Linked DNA regions of Drosophila melanogaster. The protein of the gene in region 2 purifies or fractionates together with the protein of the main gene of each other region. This does not show direct contact. Each region holds a gene or a part of one and is shown on either strand. Other genes may lie near its edges. The genes, in order: pds5 and Haspin.

What was found.
Region 1: the proteins of Haspin (region 2) and pds5 purify together in Drosophila melanogaster (affinity purification with western blotting, with the first as the bait; one study listed by BioGRID). This does not show direct contact.

Annotation. Positions count from the first base shown.
Region 1 is NT_033778.4:12,026,145-12,040,028, forward strand, and holds pds5 (precocious dissociation of sisters 5), read left to right. Parts: upstream 1-1,840; 5' UTR 1,841-2,088; intron 2,089-2,150; exon of another isoform or gene 2,151-2,408; 5' UTR 2,409-2,430; coding exon 2,431-2,511; intron 2,512-2,572; coding exon 2,573-2,958; intron 2,959-3,021; coding exon 3,022-3,229; intron 3,230-3,287; coding exon 3,288-3,456; intron 3,457-3,519; coding exon 3,520-4,261; intron 4,262-4,325; coding exon 4,326-4,589; intron 4,590-4,646; coding exon 4,647-4,740; intron 4,741-4,802; coding exon 4,803-5,648; intron 5,649-5,713; coding exon 5,714-5,850; intron 5,851-5,911; coding exon 5,912-5,991; intron 5,992-6,052; coding exon 6,053-6,318; intron 6,319-6,390; coding exon 6,391-6,681; intron 6,682-6,744; coding exon 6,745-6,837; 3' UTR 6,838-7,581; downstream 7,582-13,884. Other genes in the region: Mppe (metallophosphoesterase), read right to left, coding at 1-455, 579-841, 898-1,013, 1,079-1,104; CG8321 (uncharacterized protein), read left to right, coding at 7,991-8,288, 9,344-9,566, 9,632-9,734; CG43191 (uncharacterized protein), read right to left, coding at 10,085-10,239, 10,295-10,423, 10,533-10,943, 11,009-11,021; 128up (upstream of RpIII128), read left to right, coding at 11,279-11,320, 11,453-11,573, 11,627-12,467, 12,533-12,635; Polr3B (RNA polymerase III subunit B), read left to right, coding at 12,975-13,857.
Region 2 is NT_033778.4:4,008,652-4,019,562, reverse strand, and holds the start of Haspin (haspin), read right to left. Parts: upstream 5,453-10,911; 5' UTR 5,399-5,452; coding exon 5,313-5,398; intron 5,259-5,312; coding exon 4,349-5,258; intron 1-4,348. UniProt on the Drosophila melanogaster protein: Serine/threonine-protein kinase that phosphorylates histone H3 at 'Thr-4' (H3T3ph) during mitosis and interphase.

The DNA.
Region 1 (13,884 bases), 8.0 Mb from region 2:
GTGGGCACCATTATCTCCAGATAGCTGTGCTCCTGCTCTTTGAGGGCCTTCAAGTCAAAATGCCTCACGGAGTTTTCATAAAAGTTGATCACCTTGGTGGAGGGGTAAATAAATATTCTGGATTCATGCCAGTGTCCTGAGAAAATGATATGTGGATCCAAGTCGCTGATGATGGCTCTCAACAGGGGTCCTCCGCCAATGAGCAGCGGGGCATGGGATACGCCAATTCTTAGACGATCCGCATTGTTATCCCTATCCGGGTTGCTAAAGTCCAATAGCATGCGGTTTATCTTGAAGAAGCGTAATCGATTGTCATAGTCAAAGAGGTCTTCACTCATGAATTCGTTCTCAAAGCGTCTTTGGTTCGAGTTGGATATGTAGTCGCCATTCTCGCCGCCAATATCATTGTCACCCGGCACATGGACGCGCTGAAAAAAGGCAGAGATCATGCGGAACTGTTAGGTTTTAAGGGGTCAATCCCATTCGCAAAGTTGTATAATCGCTTTGGAAAAACTTTAAATTGAAATAATTATAGGTGCAACAACAATTTAAGGTGAAGCAAAAGCAGTACTCCTTACTTTTTTGTAGTTCTTATTCTGATAAATTCGTCTGAACCGCTGAACGTACTGCTTGTACTCTTGAGCCGTGGCAATGTTGCCTTCGTCCAACAGATCGCCCAGGAACACTATGATGTGAGGCTGTGTAAAGGCAAGAGCTCGCTCGAAAGTCTTCGCCAGGTATCTATCCGAATCGTACCTGGCTAAAGGACTGTGCGAAGATCGATCGTAGGAGTTTCCCAGTATCTGGGGATCAGCAATAAGCAGCAGGCGCGTGCAATTATCTATGTGGGAAAAATAGCTTGTTATGATGCGACTCAAAAACTGTGTTACGGCTTACCTAGTTTGCAATCGATTGGCTGCCAACTGGACTGGGCCATGTAGTAAACTATAAACTCGTTGAAGAAGACCAGCAGCAACGTAAGAGCCACAAAACCGCGGCACACTAATCTGTTTCTTTCGGGGATTATGGAAGGATTAAATAGTTTCGGTTAACAAAAGTAACGTCAACTATGACCCACCTATTGACGACGCGCAAGGAAGCCATAATCCCGGCTATGCCGCATCGGTTTGGATTGCTTGATTAATACTTTCGGTTGTCCTCTGGCAAATGCAACTGGCTTACATTGCGTCTCTATATGTACAATCTATATTTAAATACGCACTGCCCATGCAATATTTACGTAAGAATGCTCATATTTTCGGGAATGTAGAGCTGCTGCAACGGACGGCGCACATCTGACCACAACCGGCCCGCATCATCGCTTTCAGGGCGCACACGCTTAATTGGATTAGAAAGCAAAACATCTAGAACGGCCGGAACGTTGTGTTGCGTCCATTACCACATTCCTCCGATGTTTCGCCAATGCGCGCCATTGGCTTTTGAACGCGGGCAATTCCGTTACAGCGTTTGCCGGCTCCAGGTGCCAATAATTGTGCAATTATCTTTATCCTATGTTTGCACTTCTTGCGCCGCGACGGCTATGTGGCAACGCTACAGCTGTTTGCCAAGCACAACAAACAAAATTAGAGGTGAGCGCGTGATTAGCACTAACTGAATGCTCAAAGCAAAACAAACATGATACTCAAATGTTGTTCTTAAGTAAATTTATAAATACAGTTTAATAAGTTATTTATATCCCGATTTCATTCCGATTATATATCCGATTTCGTGACACGACCCCTTCCGCTCTCCTCGCTAGCACCAACAACACGTCAATGCTAATCAGCTGAAATGCAATCATGTACTAATCTGCGAAGAGTCTGGCCACACTTCCAAAAAACCTCTGGCAACGCTTCGTGCGTGGATTAATGGCGTGCCACTCCACATAAATGCTCCTTGGTTTTTGCTTATTTTTAACAACATAAGCACCGCAAAAGACTCTTGTAACCGAACATGTGTAAATAGCTGGACAGGATCAATCCCATCCATAGTGCAGTGATTCGAAGGAGACGCGCGCTAAGCGGTCATCGAAAGCAGGGGTTCGCAAAATTGCAAAAAAATTGTGCCGCTTCCTGCCCGTTGTGAAAAGTAAGATTCCGAGTTCCAAAAACTGCGCCGCAGTTTAATATAAAACATTGGGTAAATTGCAGTGGCAAGGGCGCTACAATTTGGGCGCTCTCTATTTGTTGTTTGCGAAAAAGAAATAACCAAACAATATTGGCCACTCTGTGTGCTTGTGGTGCTGCTGCCCATGTGTGTGTGTGCTTGTGTGGAGCTTCGTGCTTGTGTGTTCGTGATGCCACCCTCCTCCACTTTTTCAATGTTATTTTGAGGGTCGCATTCGTTGTTGTTGCTGTCGCACGGAATTGTTGCACCTGCCACTGAATCCTTGAAATCCTGGCTTGCAGGTAGCTCCCATTGGCGGTGAGGATGGCGGACATAGTGTACCCCACCGGATGCCGGCCGCTGGTCGAGGATTTGGGCACAGACGAGCTGATAAGGCGCCTCAAGGTGAGTCCTGCCCCTGGTTCCCTTAGCAAAACTTCTCACTTAGAATGATTCTGTTTTACAGACCCTCGCCAATGTTCTGCAGACCATGGACCAGGACGACAATCTCTACCAGCAATACATACCATTGGCCCTCCATCTGCTGGACGACTTCTTTATGCAACATCCATCCCGTGATGTCCAGCTCTTAATCGCGTGCTGCGTGGCGGATGTCCTGCGGGTTTATGCGCCAGAGGCTCCCTACAAAGAGCAAGATCAAATCAAAACTATATTTAAGTTTTTTATCAAGCAACTGCACGGTCTGAAGGATCCGCGCGATCCCTCTTTCAAGCGTTACTTCTATCTGCTGGAGAACCTTGCTTTTGTCAAGTCTTTTAATATGTGTTTCGAACTGGAGGACTGCCAAGAAATCTTCCAAGACCTGTTTAGTACCATCTTCAAGATTGTCAAGTAAGTCGAGCTCTTCCTTTATCCTGCGAACTCTTTATAATCACATGTTATATAATTTTCTAGTGACCAGCACAGTGTCAAGGTGACTAACTTTTTTCTAGATGTGCTAAGCCCGTTGATCACAGAAGCCGACAATCTGTCGGTGGAATTGTTGGATCTCATTCTGATTAACATCGTAGAGCCGTACAAATCTAACAACAAGTTTGCCTGCCAATTAACAGAACAACTTCTCACTAAAACGGGCGATGCTCTCGAGTCCACCATCAAAATGGTAATATTTCGTTGATCTTTGGTGCACCACGTTATTCAACCTAATCCCTGATCTACAGTTCTTTAACCGTGCTCTGGTCATGGATAAGCCAAACACAAAACTGTCCATTACAAACAAAATCTATGATATCATTTACGAGCTTAACCGCATCAATGCAGGCTTGTTGTGTTCAGTGCTACCTCAGCTGGAGAACAAACTGCTGTCCACGGACGATGCTGAGAGGCTAAGTGAGTAATTTATCAGCATGTACCTCTATTTGCATATTAATAAACATATTTTCGTTACTACAGAGGCAACCACTCTCTTGTCTCGTATGTTCTCCGAAAAGGACTCGCAACTAGCGAAAAAGTACCCCAACCTGTTGAAAATCTTCTTTGGGCGCTTCTGCGACATCACCGAACCAGTTCGCATCAAGTGTGTTCAGTCATCCATGCACTTCCTGCTCAATCACCCAAGTCTTCAGCACGATATCACCGAGAAATTGCGGCTTCGAAATCACGATCTTGACGAAGTGGTCCGCCACGAGGTGGTAATGGCTATTGTGGAAACTGCCAAGCGCGACTTCACCCTCGTTCTCGAAGCGCCCGATCTACTAGAAATTGTGCGCGAGCGGACGCTAGATAAGAAGTACAAAATTCGCAGGGATGCGATGAATGGTCTGGCCTACATCTACAAGCGCGCAATTTGCGAACCCAACGATCTAAGCACTGGCCTTAAGGTCAGGGTTGACTGGATTAAGAACAAGATACTACATGGATACTACAAAGTGGGCTTGGAGGACCGCCTGCTTGTGGAACGCCTACTTATCACCTGCCTGGTTCCCTATAAACTAGCTCCGGAAGAGCGCATGAAGAAGCTATATCATTTGCTAGGCGATCTCGATGCCAATGCCACCAAGGCTTTCGTCGAGCTGCAGAAGAACCAAATGAAGACACGCAATACGGTCAGTGATTGGATCAAGCTACACCACTCTAAGGAGTTCACGCCGCGCGTACTTAGTCAGCTCAGCGCCAAGCAGGCCAACATTGCCAAGTGGGTTCTATAATAAGTTTTCTTTTGATAGTTTGTAACCAGTGATGTGTTTTTTTTTCTTCAGACTGCTTCCAGATCCCCTAAAAGCGGCAGAGTACCTAACCCAGTTTAGCAACAACCTGCGAAAAGATGCTCAGCTCCTACGATGCATTAACATTGTCCTTAAACGCGACGTAAGCTGTCGGGAGTGTGCTGACACGATGGGAGTTCTCCTGAAAAAGCTTGGCGCCCACGTCCAATCGAATCTGTATTACAACACAGTTAAGATGCTGATTGAGCGCGTGGCATCAGTGATGGTGGACAAGGAGTCTATTGGCGTACTTATTAGGTAAATTGCTTTTAAGTGCCCTTTTGCCAGACTTAATCCGGTAATCTTTTTGCTCAGCCTAATTGAACAATGCATCGAGAAAGGGTCCATGTGTGAAGAGATCGGAATTTCGGCTCAGGAAGCGGGCGAGCGCGGACTCAAGTTGTTGGCCGTGAGTATAGAGATAATTTAAGTTATGATACAGAAATCCATTTGATTGCTTTATACTTGCAGATGCTTTCATACGTCTTTTCGGCTCATTTCTTCACCGATACTTCGCTGCGTCATTTAATTTCCCTGCTCAGTTACGAGCAGGATTATGTTGCACCACTGGTGCTAAAGACACTAACTCATCTGGGGCGCTATCAGCCACTCATTGACGACCCTACACCGGCTATTCTCGACGAGCTGGCTCCGGTGTGCAAGGACTTCGCACTTATTGGAACCCCCAAGCAAGCAAAGCACGCGGTGCGATGTATTTTCGTAAACAGCCAGTCGTCGGCTTCCACTGATGGAGCAACAAGTGGAGCTGGAAGTGCGTCCACAACTACACAAACAGTGCATCCTATTTTCAACGAGATCATCGAGACGCTTCGCCTAAAACTGACACCAAACTGTGAGCATCAGCGCACAAAGATTGTGACCTTGGGTCACATTGCCTACAATATGCCACAGGCCTTCCTAACGCCCATTAAGAATATGATTGCGCGACGAATTGTCAAAGAGCTGCTTATCCAAGAAGTTCCTGCGCAGCGAGACTACGAACTGCCAGAGGACAGTGATTGGTGTGCCCAAGAGAAACTACCGCCGGACACTCTATGTAAGCTGGATGCGCTCAAGGCTATGGCCAGGTGGCTTTTGGGATTGCGTACCGATGAGCACGCTGCCCAGAAAACATTCCGAATGCTGGCGGCGTTTGTTAACCAACGAGGCGATTTGCTCGGCCAGAACCGTCTTTGCGGTGCCGAGAAATCTTGGCTGCGCCTCGGGGCAGCCTGCGCCATGCTCAAAGTGTGCGAACAAAAGGGCGTAGGTGATCAGTACAGCGCTGAGCAGTATTTGCAGCTTTCCCAGCTGATGGTGAGTAGAGACATTCATCTTGTGCTTAGAACTTAGTCTCAATGTCTATCTCGGTGTTCCCGTAGGCTGATCCGGTGCCAGAAGTTCGGGAAATCTTTGCTCGCAAGCTGCACAAAGGATTAAGCAGAAGTTTGCCCAGGAACTGTTTGCCGCTGGACTTCATGGGCTTGTATGTGCTGGCTGGTCTAGAGACTGAGAGGAAGTGAGTAGTTCAAGAAACCATCCGATCCGTTCGGAGAAGTATTGATAAATATTTTCAACAGATTGCAAGACCTTGTGCGTCACTATGCAGAAACGGATGTAAACAAACGGCGGGAATATCTCAAGACTGTGGCTATGACATGTAGGTGTTTTACTTTTGGAATCATATTGTGTATTTTAACCATTAAATCAAATTATTCCAGCTCCCGACAGCTCAACGGAGTCACAATCATTACACATACTACCTGACTACATGCTGGCTTTCGCTATTCCCGTGCTGGTCCACGATCCACGCTTCACGAATCACGAGGACTACGTACAGCTGCGCAAGATGGAGAAGTGCCTGCGTTTCATTCTGGAGCCGCTGATGGCCAAACGAGAAACGTTTGTCCATAGCTTCTACAAGCAGCTGCTGCAGCTGATAAAGCATCGCGAGTTCAGTCTGGGGTCGGACAAGCGCGACAACTATGTATGTCACTCAATCATTTTCCCAGGCTTTCCCTTCTAAATTATATTTATACATATATTTTTCGGTTATCAGAAAATGTGGGCGCTCTGCGATCTTGCCATGTACATTATCGACTCCAAGTTCAGTCCATTTGATGGCAACACGAGCACCTTTTCCATGCCGCTGGCTTTGCCAGAAATGTATTATAAAGAGCCTGCCGTTGCGAATTTCCAAAACAATGACGTCTATATACCGCTGGACGTGTATACGCTGGGAGCCAAATCCACGAGCAAAGCTGCCGCAACAGCAATGACAACGTCGCGAGCAGCAGTGGCTCCAAAGAGACCGGCGGAACAGTCAATCATGGATGATGAAAATCCGCAGGTGAGTGAGGTCCTTGGAAAATACTGAGAATGAATCTAACTAGTGTGTGAAATTTGATTTCAGGAGAACAATCTGTTCGACAACATACGAGCGGCTGACACTACGGAGCCCATGGCCAAACGAACGCGCGCAGGAGCCGCTTCAGCCAAATCATAGGGGCTGGGATGGCGCAGATTGGAGGTGGAGAGAGCGCATACTTGTTAGTTTAGTTATGTTTAGTCTAGGCGCCTAAGTTAACTAAATATTTAAGACGTAGGAAAGACCACGATAGTTGTTAAACCGACACTACCTTTATCCACACCATGCAACTCACAACTAAGCACCCAGAATTCGGATTGTTCAGTTTCGCATTCAGTATGTACTATATCAATTTTGTGAGATACACCAAAAACACAAACATCAAAAAAAGAAAAACGAAAAAAGTGTCGAAAAATCTGTTAACCGCAACTCTGTAAAAGTAATTATTTATCATTTAAAATGTTTTATCCTGTTCTTTTATAGTGTTTGATTTATTGATTGATTTTACCATTATTCTTAGACTATTGTATATCGAATAAAAAAAGGAAAGTATATCGCGCATAAGTTAAAGTACGAAGTAAAGTAATGAAAACGTAAACAGAGCCTTATTAAGTAATTAAAATTAACTTTTCTATGATCGCAGTTAATTTTTAGTTAATGTAACATCATCATAATACATACAATTGTCTCGTTAAATTCAACAAGTATGCATTCAAAATGCATTCAAAAAGAAAACCTAAAAGCGTAAGAATTGGAAAGAAAACTACAAAGATAAAAATAAAATGAATACACACATTAAACTATAAAACATGTACATTAAACAATTATTATGGTTTTTAAATTACAAATAAACGTATGATTATTATTTAAATGTTAAAATGGATATCGAAAATGGGCTTTTAGTTTAAATTATTAAAATGTTGTACTTTTTTAATATAAAGTAAGTTTAAAAAATGGCTAAAATATAATTTTTGTTTCTAACTTTTTTCTTTTCAATTTCAAAGTCGCTCTTAGGAGGGCTAAAACTAATTTGAATATTGATAACAAATGAACTATCGATAAGAGGCCGTCGATAGTTCACGGTGCAACATCAACTCTCCCATCACTAGTTCCAATTGCATTTTCTGCGTTGTTTTTTTTCGGGGGTGTGACGTTTTTCTTGTTGTTTTTGTGCTATTGTGAAATAAACCAAACAATTGTCGAGTTAAATAGACACTGATTGTTGTTTTGCCGCGCAGTTCGAACAACGAAAACTAATTCCAAACAAAGCTTACGCCGGCAAAACCACGAAATGCAGGTGGAACCAGCCGAAGTCGGCTGTGACGTCACGCATCGCCAGCAGGAGAAAAACAAAACCAATGGGATTTTCTCAACGGCAGTCAGAAGTAAAAAAAACGGGCAACCGAACGGACGGATCTACACCTCCACGCCGAAGACCTCGCATCCGAAACTTGAGCACTACGTAGGTGTTGCTAAACCCTCGGAAAAGGGGCGAGTGGGAGTGGTGACCGCCCTCGATCCGCTGATCAAAAAGGTGGCCCTTCTCTTTGGGACTCTTATCATTGGCTACAAAAGCGTCATCTTAACGAGTAAGTGTGCCAAGCTGGGGGCTAAACGTAAATATATTGTGGGTTTATTGGATTTCCATTTGTTTATTTCTGTATATCCCCGGTGTGGCGGGGGTGGGAATTCAAGGTTGCAATTGTCGGTTGCGTCGTCTTTACTCGCACTTTGTTTATATTCTCGCGTTTATAAATAGTTGAAGTTCGTGTGATCTCATAGCGGTGGTGTTTGTTCCCCCTGCATAAGCCGCCGAATAGCGAAAAAACGTCTATATAAGGAAGGCAAATTGTTTGATGCGCATTAGCCGTCTCATTTGCATACAAACGTACTGAAGACCTTAGAAAAATCGTCAAAGAGTGATTAGTTGCTTCATCTTTGAGGCAAAATGCCATTAGTTAGTTAATTGTTTGCCCAGCGGCTATTAGTTATTCATCTACGCTTAGCTTAACGGTATTTAGCACTGGGCTTTCGTCACGCGACACATACATGTATATTCTAATGTATGTAATATAAACATTAGAAGGTACCGCTAGAAGGCCCAGGAAAATAACGAATTTTACATTTCTGACGATATAGCAATCTTTATTTGCTGCAGGTTTTGCATTAGGGTGGCTCCAAAAAAAGTGCGACAAAAAATTTAATAAAGTTTAACAAAGCTCAAAGAAAAAACACATGTTTAATCAACTATTTGTTAAATAATTCAAACATATAAATTTGATATAAGCAGAAAACAAATTTTATACATTGTCGAGAAAAGAAATAATTAAACCAATACAAACGAATATTTATTTCCAATCTTTCCCATCGGTCCAAATCTATAAAAAGCGCAACCTTGCTATTTATGGTGTAACGAATGGGGTTTCTGTACATTTTTGCAAATTTCTTTGCCCACTAATTCTTTCCATTTAGCCAAATTGCTTTGATTCCCTCATAGCGTACATATCTGACTAATAAATTTGAACCACCCTAGTTATAAACCCAACATTTTGACGTGTTTATCACGCTAGGACTGATAACAGTGAAATCAATAGAACGACACTCAAAATGAGATACTAACGAGCTTTGGGCGTTCTCTTTGCAGTGCCATACATCACGGGCGATTCCATCCAGGTGCTGAGCCACCAGGTGCAGAGTAGGTGGAACGAGACCTTGGTGTGGGCCACCAGGCACCAGCTGGGCTCCAGGCTGAGTCCCCTGCTGTGTGGCCTTCTAGTGGCAGCTTTCGCGTACGGAATCGTGTACTTGGACAGCGCGGTGCCCGGCGTAAATCCCCCCTCGCCCTTTACGCCGCGTTCCAAGAAACGGTAAGCTCTGGGGAAATCACCTTTAATTATTCATTATAACATGGAGTCTTTACTTCAATTTGCAGTTTCCGCGAGGAGAAGACTGCCTCGATGCACTTGGGCTACTTGTGCGCCCTGTTCTGCGGATTTCTGGTCACGGTCTTCATGTACTTCGACTTGTACTCGTAGAACTGAATACCCATTTCCTTCCAATTAGTTCAATAAGTTCACCAGTATTAGACTTTATACGCCCACTTCGGAATTTGTATTTGTTGTAGTCCTTGAAACTGTGCAATGCTCCTGGAGAGAATCGTCAGGGGGCATTTTGAAGCTAACTTATTTCCTAGGTATATTAATTATAAGTTACTAACTCTATAAATTATTCATGATTTGTAAACTACAAAAGTACAAAATGAAACATTTCACTGTTGATTGGAGGCCAGGATCGAAAAGCTTAGGCTAGCATATTTATACCTTGTGAAAAGTACACTATCGCCTGGCCTAAAAATCTCAAGAAAACTGTATCCTTAAAAAATAAATTACTTTTGCATAGTGTTTTGCAATAAAATATACGAGGTAACATTTTCAATGCGCAGAAATTGCTGTTGCCAGTCAATGTCGCTTACCTGGTCAATCTTAAATGTTTTCAAGCGATTTTCGCCAATAAACTGGCCCACGAGATGGACAAAGCAGCCTTTTAATGAATAAAACTTTGGTTATGTAATGGTTATCAGTTTCCTGCATTTTACCTGGGCTCCAAGTACTCATAACGCCTTCGAAATCGTAGTAAATTCCCTGAAGGACGGGCCCCGATTCTTTGTTTCGCACGAGCAAGGTGTGTTCTCCACGTTTTCCCACAATGATCCGTAGCAATTTTCCTGAAAAACGATAATTAATGATTTAACTTGCCAAATTTAGCGATATTAATCATTCTGTTTAAAATGTATATAGTAATTTGATTTTGAATGTATTTCAGTTCAGACCCACCGTAAACATTCCAAATAGCATTAATTTCCGGATACATTTTTTGAGTTTTAAGGCAGAAATCCACGCGACCAATTAAACTAATTAAGTTTCGTCCTGGCTTCAACATCGGGGAGCTTGGCAACTCCGCTGATTCCTTTTTGGCTGACATTTCGCAACTGGATTTTTCCAGAATAATCGGTGATGGAACGTTCTCCTTTTTGGGCTGAACTTTCACAGCTTCCTCCACGAATCCATCGTATATTAGCTTATTATCCTTACGACAGACAGTTAGTTTTGTTTGCCGCAATTGGGTGCTATTTTTGCGCAAAAGTTCAGCGGCCGTTGGAAAACTGCGATTCAATTGCGAGACGTTGTTGGTCAGTTGGCTCTTAAATTGAGCTTGGTTGTTACCCAGAGGGGTGCGCGGTTTAACTGAAACAATGTTAATTTTTTGTTAATTTATAAATAGTTCTCAGTATTTAATTGCGGAACTTAACCTTTAGCAAACATTCTTGCAGCCATCAAATTGTAACGGCTATATTCCAATCAGCCTGACCATTTTAATTTTGTCTAAGAATACTTTTACGATTCGTTAAGTGTTGGCTAACGTTGGGAATCGACCACATTACTGAACAAATCGATTGTATCGAATACATATCGATTGCACCTCCAACTGTCCACGCGAGAGTTTTATATATTTTATTTTTACATGCATATTTGTTGATAACTGGGGTTTTCTGTGAACCGCGTTTAACTCTCAGCCAGCCATGAGCACAATATTGGAGAAAATCTCGGCCATCGAGTCGGAGGTGAGTGGAACTTGGAGTACCTGCCGATCTTACAGAAACTAACCTGTCTCGCATCCATTTACCCCGCGGATTCCCCCCTGGATTCTATCTAAATCACCGGGTTGTTGGACCACCTTCTCAACTGAATCCTAGATGGCCCGAACCCAAAAGAACAAGGCCACCTCGGCCCATTTGGGTCTACTGAAGGCGAAGCTGGCTAAGCTGCGACGCGAACTGATTTCCCCCAAAGGAGGCGGCGGCGGAACCGGCGAAGGTAGGCTCTTGGATATATAATTCAGGCAATCACTAAACATTATGTATTTCCAGCTGGCTTCGAGGTGGCCAAGACTGGAGATGCCCGGGTGGGATTCGTAGGGTTTCCTTCTGTGGGTAAATCCACACTGCTCTCCAACTTGGCTGGCGTTTACTCCGAGGTGGCGGCATACGAATTCACAACGTTGACCACTGTGCCGGGATGCATTAAGTACAAGGGCGCTAAGATCCAGCTGCTGGACTTGCCCGGTATCATTGAGGGCGCTAAGGATGGCAAGGGTCGAGGTCGTCAGGTGATTGCTGTCGCTCGCACCTGTAACCTCATTTTCATGGTGCTGGATTGCCTGAAACCGCTTGGCCACAAGAAACTCCTCGAGCATGAATTGGAGGGCTTCGGCATCCGGCTTAACAAGAAACCACCAAATATCTACTACAAGCGGAAGGACAAGGGTGGCATCAATCTGAACAGCATGGTTCCGCAGTCCGAGTTGGACACGGATCTGGTGAAGACCATTCTATCCGAGTACAAGATCCACAATGCGGACATCACCCTGAGATACGACGCCACTAGTGACGACCTCATTGACGTTATCGAGGGCAACCGCATCTACATACCCTGCATATATCTGCTGAACAAGATCGATCAGATCTCCATCGAGGAGCTGGACGTCATCTACAAGATCCCGCATTGCGTGCCCATCTCGGCCCATCACCACTGGAACTTTGACGATCTGCTGGAGCTGATGTGGGAATACCTGCGACTGCAGCGCATCTACACCAAGCCCAAGGGCCAGCTGCCCGATTACAACTCGCCCGTGGTACTCCACAACGAGCGCACCAGCATTGAGGATTTCTGCAACAAGCTGCATCGCTCCATTGCCAAGGAATTTAAATAGTGAGTGCGCTTCACTTTCCCTCTGTTCCCTTGGTTATAATAACATTTATGTATTTCCTTCGTAGTGCGCTGGTTTGGGGCTCATCTGTGAAGCATCAGCCACAGAAGGTGGGCATCGAACACGTTCTCAACGACGAGGATGTGGTCCAGATTGTGAAGAAGGTTTAGACTCTGTGCAACGATAACACTTTGATTACTTGATGGCATTTTTTATTCGAAAATAAAAAACGAATGTGCTTTATGTGTGCGTGGATTTAAGGCGGCTTAAGTTTAAGAAAACCCTCTAATTTTTATTTTATCAAATTTTTTAATTGGCGCGCACAGAGGTAATTTAAATAAATTAAAGCTAGATTTAGCGGGAATTAATTTCACTGCCAGCTCTATGGGAATAACTTTGCTATCACTTGCCCAAGTATATCGATAACCGATAGGTAAAGAAACCGCATATCGAAGAACCTCATAGCACGCTGTTTTGTTGACAAACTTAAATTAAATTATTATAACGAAATGGTGGAGCTAAAGATGGGCGATCACAACGTGGAGGCCACCACCTGGGATCCCGGCGACAGCAAGGACTGGTCGGTGCCCATTAAGCCGCTAACGGAGAAGTGGAAATTGGTGCCGGCATTCTTGCAAGTAAAAGGATTAGTGAAGCAGCACATTGATTCCTTCAATCACTTCATCAACGTGGACATAAAAAAGATTGTGAAGGCTAACGAGCTGGTTACCAGTGGAGCTGATCCTTTGTTTTACCTAAAGTACTTGGATGTGCGGGTGGGCAAGCCGGACATCGACGATGGCTTCAACATCACCAAAGCGACCACACCGCACGAATGCCGTCTGAGGGACACCACGTACTCCGCCCCCATCACCGTGGACATCGAGTACACGAGGGGAACCCAGCGGATCAAGCGGAATAATTTGCTCATCGGAAGGATGCCCCTCATGCTGCGCTGCTCCAATTGCGCCCTTACCGGCAAGTCGGAGTTCGAGCTGTCCAAACTGAATGAGTGTCCACTAGATCCTGGCGGCTACTTTGTGGTGCGAGGTCAGGAGAAGGTTATCCTCATTCAGGAGCAGCTGTCATGGAACAAGATGCTCACCGAGGACTTCAACGGTGTGGTGCAATGCCAGGTTACCTCCTCCACACACGAAAAGAAGTCACGTACTTTGGTGTTGAGCAAGCATGGAAAGTACTACCTCAAGCACAACTCGATGACGGACGACATACCCATTGTGGTGATCTTTAAAGCTCTGGGCGTAGTTTCCGATCAGGAAATTCAATCGCTAATTGGCATTGACAGCAAATCGCAGAATAGATTCGGTGCCTCTCTAATAGACGCCTACAACCTGAAGGTCTTCACACAGCAAAGGGCTTTGGAGTACATGGGTAGGTTTGTTTACCCTAGTTAAATTT
Region 2 (10,911 bases):
GGAATACTGTTCAGCTATATTCTTAGATGTTGCACAAGCATTTGACCGAGTCTGGCTGGAAGGACTAATGTACAAGATAACAAAACTGCTTCCCCAGAACACGCACGCAAGTGTTCGAATCTTATCTCTTCAAAAGAGTGTTCTCAACCAGGTGCCCCGTTTTTTACACCCTATTCACAGCAGACATGCCTACAAACTATCAGCTCACAACCTCTACGTTTGCTGACGATACCGCAATACTTAGCCGATCTAGATGCCCAGCAAAGGCAACAGAGCAACTTTGCCTGCCATCTTAAAATAGTGGAAAGATGGTTTGCGGACTGGCGCATTAAGATAAACGAGACCAAAAGCAGACATGTAACCTTCACACTGAACAGACAAACCTGCCCACCCTGTACCCTGAACAATACATTTATCCCACAAGCAGACGTAGTAACATATCTCGGCGTTCACCTAGATAGACGCCTCACCTGGCGGCGAAATATAGAATCTAAGAGGACTCATATGAAGCTTAAAGCAGCCAATCTTCACTGGCTTATTAATTACAACTCTCCCCTTAGTCTGGAATACAAAGTACTCCTCTACAATACCGTGCTGAAACCCATCTGGACATACGGCTGTGAACTATGGGGAAACGCTTCAAAAACCAACATTGAAATCATAAAGCGAGCTCAGTCCACGATTCTGCGAACTATCACTGGGGCACCATGGTACCTACGCAGCGAAAGCATCCATAGAGACCTCCACATAAATCTTGTCAATGAGGAAATTCAGATGAAGAAAAGTAAACATCAAGCAAAGCTCGCCGCACACGAAAATCCTCTCGCGAAGTCGCTTACGCGAGTCTACAGTCAGAGCCGACTGAAGCGCAAAGATTCTTCAGCCCAGCAAAGAAATCCTAGGGCCGTTTCCAACTAATACAATTACTTCATATTGTAATTAATATAAGTTATATAATAAGATTTGAATAATTATTGTTAGTCTCACAAAAAGAGAAGATCCAATAAATTTGGATCTTTTGATTTATGCACTAGTTTAAACAAATGAACTTTTGCTTCTCTGTCTTTGTTTTTTGTTTTCTCTCTCTTTCGCAGCACTGCGAAAGTAGTTTTTGTATGCAAATTAAAATATTTATTGTTTAATTACTTAGAAAAATAATTTTTAGTTTAATATAATTTTATATTTTTTGTTGATAAACCTTTTCACTGACACTATTACACGACACTGTTTTTTTTTTTTTTTTTTTTTTTTATCCGTAATTGGAATAACGATAATGGTTATCGATCTGGTCCCGATCTTATAATTCTTACTCCTAATCCAAAAAACCTCGGCCAGAAGCTTTTCTTTTGAAAACTTCTTTAACTTTTAATTATGTCTTGAATAGGCCAGAAGCTTTTCTTAAAAAACTTCTTGAACTTTCATTTATGTTTAGAATAAAAGCTTCATACTGAAATTATTTTGCGGAGTTGAAATTAGACTGATATAGTTTGATTGAAGCGCAATAAGTTGATCATGGCTTGGTCTCCAAGCGGTAGCTGTGTTTACTTTAAGTTTGGATATTTATCTTATTGGGTAGCTTAGTGCTGGCAAAGACAATGACAAAAACAAAGACAAAGCAAATGCCGCTGAGATTGGTATTTGCAATTTGTTTATAAGCTGGGGTGGAGTGCTATATTTAAGGGTTGGATAACTTGCACATAAACTACACTGTGCACCCACTCTCTAGCTCTCCCACACAAAATCTAAGGTTCTAAGGGTGTGGACTCTTCTTTTGCGGTACTTTTAATAGCTTTCTAAAAAGTTTTAATTAAAAAAAAAAAACTTTGAATACTGATGTTCTCTTCTTTCAAAATATTTGCTGGTTATAAAAACTGAGCAGCCAAAAATGATTTTTGATAAAATGGTACACTCTGGTTTTGGCGGCCGAACCAGTGATGACCTAGCTAAGGGTCCAAACTCAAAGATACCCCCCGCAGTTGTTCCACTGAAGAAACAAATTTTCGTTTCTCGGCATTCCCCTGCTATGAATGAATGTCTATATGCCAGGTCCCGACGGAATCCCTTGTTGCGTGCTCAGATTCTGTGCGGAAGCCTTGAGCAAGTCTTTACTGAAACCGTTTAACTTATCTCTGTAATCTGCACAGTTCCCCCATATATGGAAGGGGTTCCTTGTGATTCTTCTTCATAAAAATGGTAAAATTTGATTCAAGCAATTACAGCGGAATCTCTATCCCAAATCTATCCTATATCCTATATTTATGTTCAGTTCTAATTTATCTCTCATCTGACAATTTTTTATAATAAAAATAATAAAAAATTATAAAAAAATAATAAAAATGGATCATTAACATACATAAATCATATTAAGTCAAATGACTTAATAAATATACTAAATATTTAAAGGAAGTAAAATATAAATGATTATAACTACTGTAATTTAAGATATAAATTTTCCAAAAAGAAGACATAACATTGAGAAATAAATATTTCATAAAAATAATACGAAGTAGAAAATAAAAATTTGTAAAATAAATAAAAATATGAAAACTGTTTATTGCAAAAATCACATCAAAGACACTAGAATAATTTGTTTTGGTCATATCTTGAGGCACGAAGTGCGGCCACAAGCACTCAACAATCATTGCCTTATTATTTTTTCACACTCCGCAAGCTGAATACTCTAATGACAAATATTCTAATATTAAGTCATTTTTGAAATTTATTTTGTGATGGTATGTACATAGATTTGGCTATTTCTAATCTATTTTCAAATAATAATAACGTTAAGGCAATGCAAACAAGAATTTTTCGCATGGTGCCAATTGATCAAAAATAATACAGACTTAAAGTCTAAGAACTTCTAAGGTGAAGGGCATATTTTGTCAAATTTACAATGCATGAGCATACGTGTGCACACATAAAGTTGTCTGCTATCACTGTATGCGTAGAAAAGAGCTGTTCGCTGTAGCGCTCTTCGCTCTCTCGCTCTCTAACAAAAATTCGAGAGAGCCTGGAGCCACCTCTAGAGCCACCGCGAAAAAATCGTGTGCCAAAAAATCGTATGGCGTTACGCATCTTGTTCTTCTAGTGTCTTTGACTATGGCATTCTTTATTGTTATACCCGATACTCGTGGAGTTGAAGGGTATACTAGATACATACGTTGAAAAGGATGTATATATATACTTGATCACGACCAATAGCCGAGTCGATCTAGCCATGTCCCTCTGTCCGAATGAGCGTCCAGATCTCAGGAACAATAAAAGCCAGAAGGTTGAGATTTAGCATACAGATTCTAGAGACGCAAGTCTCGTTGATATTTTGATATTCTTTCTTATTTATATTAGTTTTCTAAATTTCTATCGATTTGCAAAAAAAAAAAATTTGCCACCCCCACTCTAAAGCCCTAACACAGCCAAACCGGTCACGCCCACACTTTTAACAATTTTTTATTCCGCAATATCTATCGATATCACAGAAAAAGAATAATTTCGCGTTCGCTAGTGTGAATACTAGCTAAGTAACGGGTATCTGATAGTCGCGGAACTTGACTATAGCATTCTTTATTGTTTTTAACTATGTATGTTTATATTATTTTTATGAAATATATTTTTTAAAATGTATTTTCTTTTTTGAAAATTTATGTTTTAAATTACAAAAGATATAAAAAAAATTTTAAATCGCAAATTTATTTTATTTTTAAGTTGAAATAATGATAAACTTAATTATAAGGATGTATAAGATACTGCTTACAGTCCCCTTTTAAAGGATGTCGTCAGTGCCTTATACATATTAATTTAAAAAGATTATAGTAAAGTCATTATTATACACGTAACTCGCTGAGTAAAAGGGTATAATACATTTGATGATATCAATGCCACCACGGCGTTCCACGAAATGAATTCGACTATGTAGCAGGTATAGCTACAAATTCTCCACTTTTCACGCCTCAACTTATAAGCTACACTTCCATCTCCTACTTCAACACTTATTAAAACTAAATTAGAATAGCTAGCAACACGAAGAACTGCACAGCGAGCAAACAACTCTTACAAGACCTACGATTTCGACATACCAGATTGACCCACACGATTACATTACTTTCGCCACCATCGAACCAATGCCAAATTAGCCATTACACAGATACAGATCCAAGCGAATGCACATTTCATAAAATGCGATCACCAATTTTCTACAGTTTCTTAAAAATGCCTTAAGCTATAAAAATATATTAATTTGAAGAGATATTGAAAACCTTTTAAAAACACGTTTAGTCAGTTAATTAGTTTAGAACTCGCTTTTGAGTATGATCTTAAATCTTTTTTTTAAGTTAAGCTTAACTTAACTTACCTTTTGTATGCTCACAAATCCATTCGTAGAATTAGTTTTACTTGTTCGAAGGCTGCACATTTTTTTAGTTATAATTATTTCTGGTAAAATTTGACTGAATGTTTTTTGCTTTTCTCCATTAATTACAGTGGAACCCTCCAAAGGTATAATCTTTAATACAATATCAGAGATGTGGTCTTTCAGTACTTCTTGATTTCTCGAACAACGAAATACTTCTCCATAAGCCCCTTCGCCAATCTTCTTAGTATTCAATAATTTATGTTGTTCGTATGCAGTATTAAACGGAAGTGGTGTACACTGATGGCAATATTTAAGAACATCTTCTTCATATTTATTCTCAAATTTATGTTCGCCTTTCAAAACTAATGATTTTCGATCCTGGCATATTGAGCTTCGACGTTCTACCTTTTTCGTGAAATTTGTTTCGGTTATTTTTGATCTGATAAAATTGTTTAGCGATTTTCTCCATTTTCCCGGATTTAATGAAATCGAAGGGTGTACAGCAGTAACCATCTTATTTAAATTACTCAATCGTTTTTTCCCAAAATTAGAACATTTTTTAGGGCTGGAATTTATGTTTTGAAAAAGAATTTCAACATTTACATATAAATCTGCCTCATTAGTATCAGCGCATTTGTCTCTACTGTCTTCCACACCTTCAAGTTTTAAGCGAGTAATTGGAGAGAGGTCGGTTTCAAATAATCCTGTTGTGCCTCCTAATCGTTTATCGCAAGGAGTTGATATAGAATCACTGGGGCAATACACTTTTATAGAGCAATCTTCAAGAGTTAAAGGTTCGTTTTTGTGATTTGGTTCTTTTATTTCTATATAGCTGCTATTTTCAACACTAGAGTCAATGTTATAGGTTACTCGTACATTTTGTTTTACTATGTTCATTTTACTTAGTTTCCTAGAAGCAAATCTATTATTTCAATTCAAATTCATTAAATGTGTATGCTCTTACGTTCTGGAGTCCAAAAGTTCATCAAACGGATCCTTCCATCTACCTTCCTCTAAAAAATCCATTTTTGTTTTGCTAATGCTGAGCATTAAATTAAATGCTCTATGTATTTTCAATTTTTAAAGAATTACGATTGATGGTTCGATAACAGCCGCAATCGATAATGTAAAACTTGCTTTTTACCGATAAGTACTATATAGGTTAATTGCACAACTGTTGCGCAGCACATTAACGTCAATGAAGTTAGCGACGATGGCATATGGAACACGGTGACGTTGTTTATTTATTTGCTTATAATTTGTAGTTGTATTTAAAAAAAAAAGTTCTAACTATTTTTATACGACTTAAGCTTAACTAATTTAAGTTTACTAATTATTTCTGCAAAAATTTTAATTACAATTTGATCCACAGTTTTTGATTAGATTGCATTTTTCTGTTACGATACGTGTTTTACATTCACTGTCTTCGATCCTGAGCTAGATATGTACCAGAAAAATGGACATGTATAAAAAATAGCGACGCTAACCTTAAATATTTGTTACTCCGCTCACAGAGCGTTTTCCAAGTAAAGTTTTCAATAGTTTTTAATTAATTTAATTTAATTTAATTTTAATTATTTATGCAAAAACTTGCATGTAAATTTGGCCCACAGCTTGTATAGAGACTGCATTTTCTATTCCAAGTTCTTGCTAAATCAAGAAAAAAAGGTACACAGTAATATGCATACTGCAATGCTAAGGTCGCTTTTGATATGAGGCCAAAGTCTTAAGTCTCAGGCTAGTAACCACAACTAGCAGCTGTTTTGTAAAGGGCGCACTTGTAATCTCATATATCAGTTTCGAGTGCTTATATACCGTTACTCGTAGAGTAAAAGGGTATACTAGATTCGTTGAGAAGTATATCACAGGCAGAAGGACTATATATTTTCGACTATATAAAGTATATATCTTCTTGAACAGGATCAATAGCCGAGTCCATCTGGACATGTCCGTCTGTCCGTATGAACTCGAGATCTCAGGAACTATAAGATCTAATAGGTTGAGATTTAGCATAAAGATTCTAGAGACGCTGCGCGTGTTTGTTGACCCATGATGCAAAGCCTACAAAAACCGCACCAAACTTTCTCGCCCACACTTTTTTAAAATGTGTTGATATTTCTTCACATTTATTTTATTCTTGTATTTTTGTATATAATTCCTATCGACTTGCATAAAAAAAATAAAATAAAAAAATGCCACGCCCACTCAAACGCCCTAAACAGCCCAAAACTGCCACTCCACATTTTTGAAAAATTTTTTTATACCTTCTATTAATTTTATTAGTCATGTAAATTTCGATCAATTTGCACAAAAATGTTTACCTAGCCCCCTCTAACGCTGTACGCCCTTTCTCATTTTATTCCCCATCCTCATTAAATTTATCGATATCGCAGAAAATTATGAAATATCCCGTTCGCACTATCACTAGCTGAGTAACGGGTATCTGATTGTCGGGAAACTCTTATCACTGGAGGTAGTTTCCACCAGCCGCAGTGACATTTCAGGGAAACGAGTAGCAGCCCATCGGAAGACTTAACTCACCCTCCACTGGGCTAAATAAAAATAATTCGTGTAATATCCGAACATATCATCCCAAAGAATTATTATTAGATAATAGCCTAGTCAATTGATACATTAAACTTTTTCAAATTTTGTTAAATATTGGAAATATGACAATACAGATATACAAAGGACTTTTTCATTTTCCCACACGTATATTATGTATATTATATATATTTATATTTCTCACGATTTCAAAAGATTAATTTGTACTATGATTTTAATTTAACAGGGTTTCAAGATTACGTCTATAAGATGAGATTTTCCTTATGCTATGTTTACTATATATTTTATATTTTCTTTAAGTAAACTGCTTATCAGCCGAAATAGTTTACTTCTTAGTTAGTGTTGAGCTAAAATGTTTTTTATTAGCTATTTTTGAGCAATTAAAAGACAGGGTTTATTATGTGATTTCGAACGATATGTTTTATTGACTGTAGCGAACGAGATTTTGCTTTAGCAGAAGGCCAAGTGTAGATCCGAAAGAGTAAAATAGAAAGAGCTCTCGATAGAGGGGAGCTTAGATAACTAAAGATAATGCTGCACAGCTCAGGTGCCGTAAAACTTATTGCTTCTCCAAAGTTGGCATCAAAATAAGACAGTAAGTTTAAAGTATTCAAATTTGCCAAATAATTAATTGAACCTGCACTTAGACTGTATTTCCAAAAAAACTTATTACTGCCTTCGGAACTGTTTTTTTTTTCATTTTTTCTCTCTCTTTCTTTAAAACAAATTGTTGATAATAGTGGGTCCGAGGAATCAATCGCTCTGTGGAAAATATCACTCATCGTATTGAACCGACTATTTTTCCTTGCATATTGATTTGAATTCCGTGGACCAGTACTTTATGGATCGTTGGTGACATAGGATACCATTGACATGTTTGCATATATAATTGAAAAGTTATATCACAAAGAGAACGAAATTGTCGGAATTTATAAAAAAGTTGGATGATATTGCTATTAAAATAATGTGAAACTTTTCCAAAAGATTTTTGTTGAAGCTGGTAACCGACGAGAATTTGCCGCTGTCATTCTGCTTCGGCATGCTTACTCGAAGGCCCATTTCTATGTACATTTCGTCCTGGTTATATTTTTTTCGAATACTTATTTTAACCTTGTCCTCTCCTTTTAAATGCCACTTTTTATCTCGGCATGATACGTTTATCTCGGTATGATACGTTAAAAACAAAACACAAAAACCGGATCCGAGCACGTAATGGACTTACCCCGAATTGTAAAGCTTTTACTTTTTGTGCAAGGGTTTCTGAACTAAATTTTGTAATTTTTAACATTTGTGTTGGGCTGACTTCACAGATCAGACAACATTGAGTAGATTTAGTGTCCGTTAATACGTTTAGGACTAATTTTTTCCATCATTATTTGGACAGCAGTTTCCTTTATCAACTCAATTTTTAGAGGCCTGAAAAATCGAATGGACTGCAGTGCTCTGTTTATCCAGATATGCCCATTAAACGAATATATAATTTGCATGGGTATAACAGAAGTTACAAATAAAGATTGATCTGAAATTAGTGTGCCAAGGTCTTCAGTTTCAAATTTCTGTTGTACTGTAATTTTGCTTCGATCCCTTCATTATAGGGCGGATATATGTCGCTGTTATGGCTTTTATTTAAAAGCCTGGTGCTTATATATTGCTGTTTTGTCCGCGTGTTTTCCAGAAGATAAGTTCGAGCTTCATCTGGTGAAAGAGGAGTTGGTTTTTGCCATTGAATTTGCATCCTCGATTCGCTTGGAAATTCTGGTGTTTTTAAAGTTTCTTTAAGAACAAAGGCAACGTTCAAGAGGAACGAGCATTCTTTTCTAGCAAAAACAGTTGCTGCATGAATCAAAAGATTTGTGTCGTGATTACTTTCACTTGCCATGCTGGATGCCAGCTTCATTTTTAATCTTTCTTCTGCATTTTTGTAAGATAAGTTTCGGCGTACCATTTTCTGTGGTGTCTTGGAGTTTTTAAAATCACTAACAAGAATTGTTATCTCAGACGCCATCCACTTATTATGTTTGGAATAAATCGGTCTAGTTGTCTGTTACACTCGGGCAGTTTTCTTTTAATGATAATTCAAAATTTTATATTTTTTTGCCAACTTTTTCAGTCATTTCTGTCTTTTTCCATTCCAGATTTTGATTGCTGATTGCGGAAGAAATGTAATCTGAAACATAACTTATTAGCCGATTGTTTCGCCTCCAACTGTACAGGAGGTCGCTATGTCTGGACTCGAACATGTCTATATAAAATCAAATTTTAAGAAAACGAGCAAGAATCGGCAAAAATATTACTTTACCGTCAAAGACAATAGTTTAACAATAGTTAAAGGTATAAATTGACGTTTTAAACTTTTGTCAGAAATTGTCAGAAAATTAGTTATATTCCACGAAACACAGTGGACACGTTAGAATTTTCTACACATAAATTGGATGTTACACATGTTACATACCTTAAAAACAACATACCTTGGCATTTATTTTTCATATTTTACTATAATTTATGGATGCATATTAAGATTCGTACCACGTGCAAAAGTAAGAAAATAATTTGGCGGGAATGGCCTTTTCTTAATCAGCTGTTTAACACTGCACCTTTAAAAGCTCATAAAACGATTTAGTGAAGCTTTCGGTCAATTTTGTTTTTGTTTTTTATTTATATGATCCATTTTGCCAGGGGCCTCATCGACATATATATATTTTTTTTTTCTGTTACCACATTTCATTACCGTGTTTTTGAGATGCGGCCCAAGATGAGCCGTTTATTCAGTGTGATACCTAGATATGTTGCTGGCAGCGGCTGATTCAGGGTAACTCCTTCTAGCCGGATTTGAGGGGTGTTCGGGATAAGCGTTTTAATGTGAAGCATGGATTTGTTGTTTTCATTGGGTTTATTTTTAGGTTCCACCGTTTACACCAGGCTGCCAGAGCATTAATATATTCTTGTAGTCCGTTAGCTACCTCTCTGCTGTCCCTAGAGTTATATACAACTGCGATGTCATCTGCATAGGTTGCAATAAGAGCCCTGTTCGGTGCTTCCATGTGTTCGAAACTCGGGCAAGGGATATCAGCAGTGTACAAGGAATATAGTAGCGGTCCGAGAACACTGCCCTGTGGGACTCCAGCTCTCATTGGGATTTAGAGGAGTAGCTATTTCTCACCGTGATTTTAAATTGTCGTTCTTCCAGATATGACTTTAAAGTACAGAAGTGGGGCGCAGGTAGAAGGGTCTTTATCTTGCAAAATAATCCAACATGCCATACTTTGTCGAAGGCTTGTTGCATATCTATAACGACAGCGTTGGAGTACTCGCAGTCGTCAACAGCCCGTAATATGGTTTGACCAGTCTGTGGACCTGTTCAATAGTTGCGTGTCCCTTTCGAAATCCAAATTGATGATCCGGCAAGATATTGCCTTGTCTTATAATGCCGACATATATTAAAAGCAGAAAAGTTACGAGAATGTTTGAGTGAATGTTCACTGTAGAGGTGCGACACCGACGTATTCCTAATGTGCGATGTCCGTAAAGTTAATGGGGTTGTTTACCTGTTTTTTCTTTAATTCGTTTGGTTATTAGAGTTCGTAGGTGTGTAGAGTTGTGAGACGGCGATAGCTATCGATATTTATTTTGCGGTATGTGTGGCATGGGGAAAATTCCTTCCTAGGAAAAGCTTGAGACAGCAGTCTAAATGGCGGGCATATAGGATATGTAAAACAATGTAATAACGATTTTTCCACGACTTGCCAAAAACTTTTTGCCCAGCCCACAAAACCCCACAAACTGTCATGACCACAATTTAATTGATATTTTATACTCGTTACTATAGTCGACTTCCCCGACTATTAGATACCCGTTACTCAGCTAGCGTGAATGCGATCGCGAAATTTCATAATATTACTGTGATATCGATAGACATTGGGGAATAATATAAGCGACTAATAAAATGATAAAAAGAATAATTTTTCAAATTAGTGGGCATGACAGTTTTGTGCGGTTTG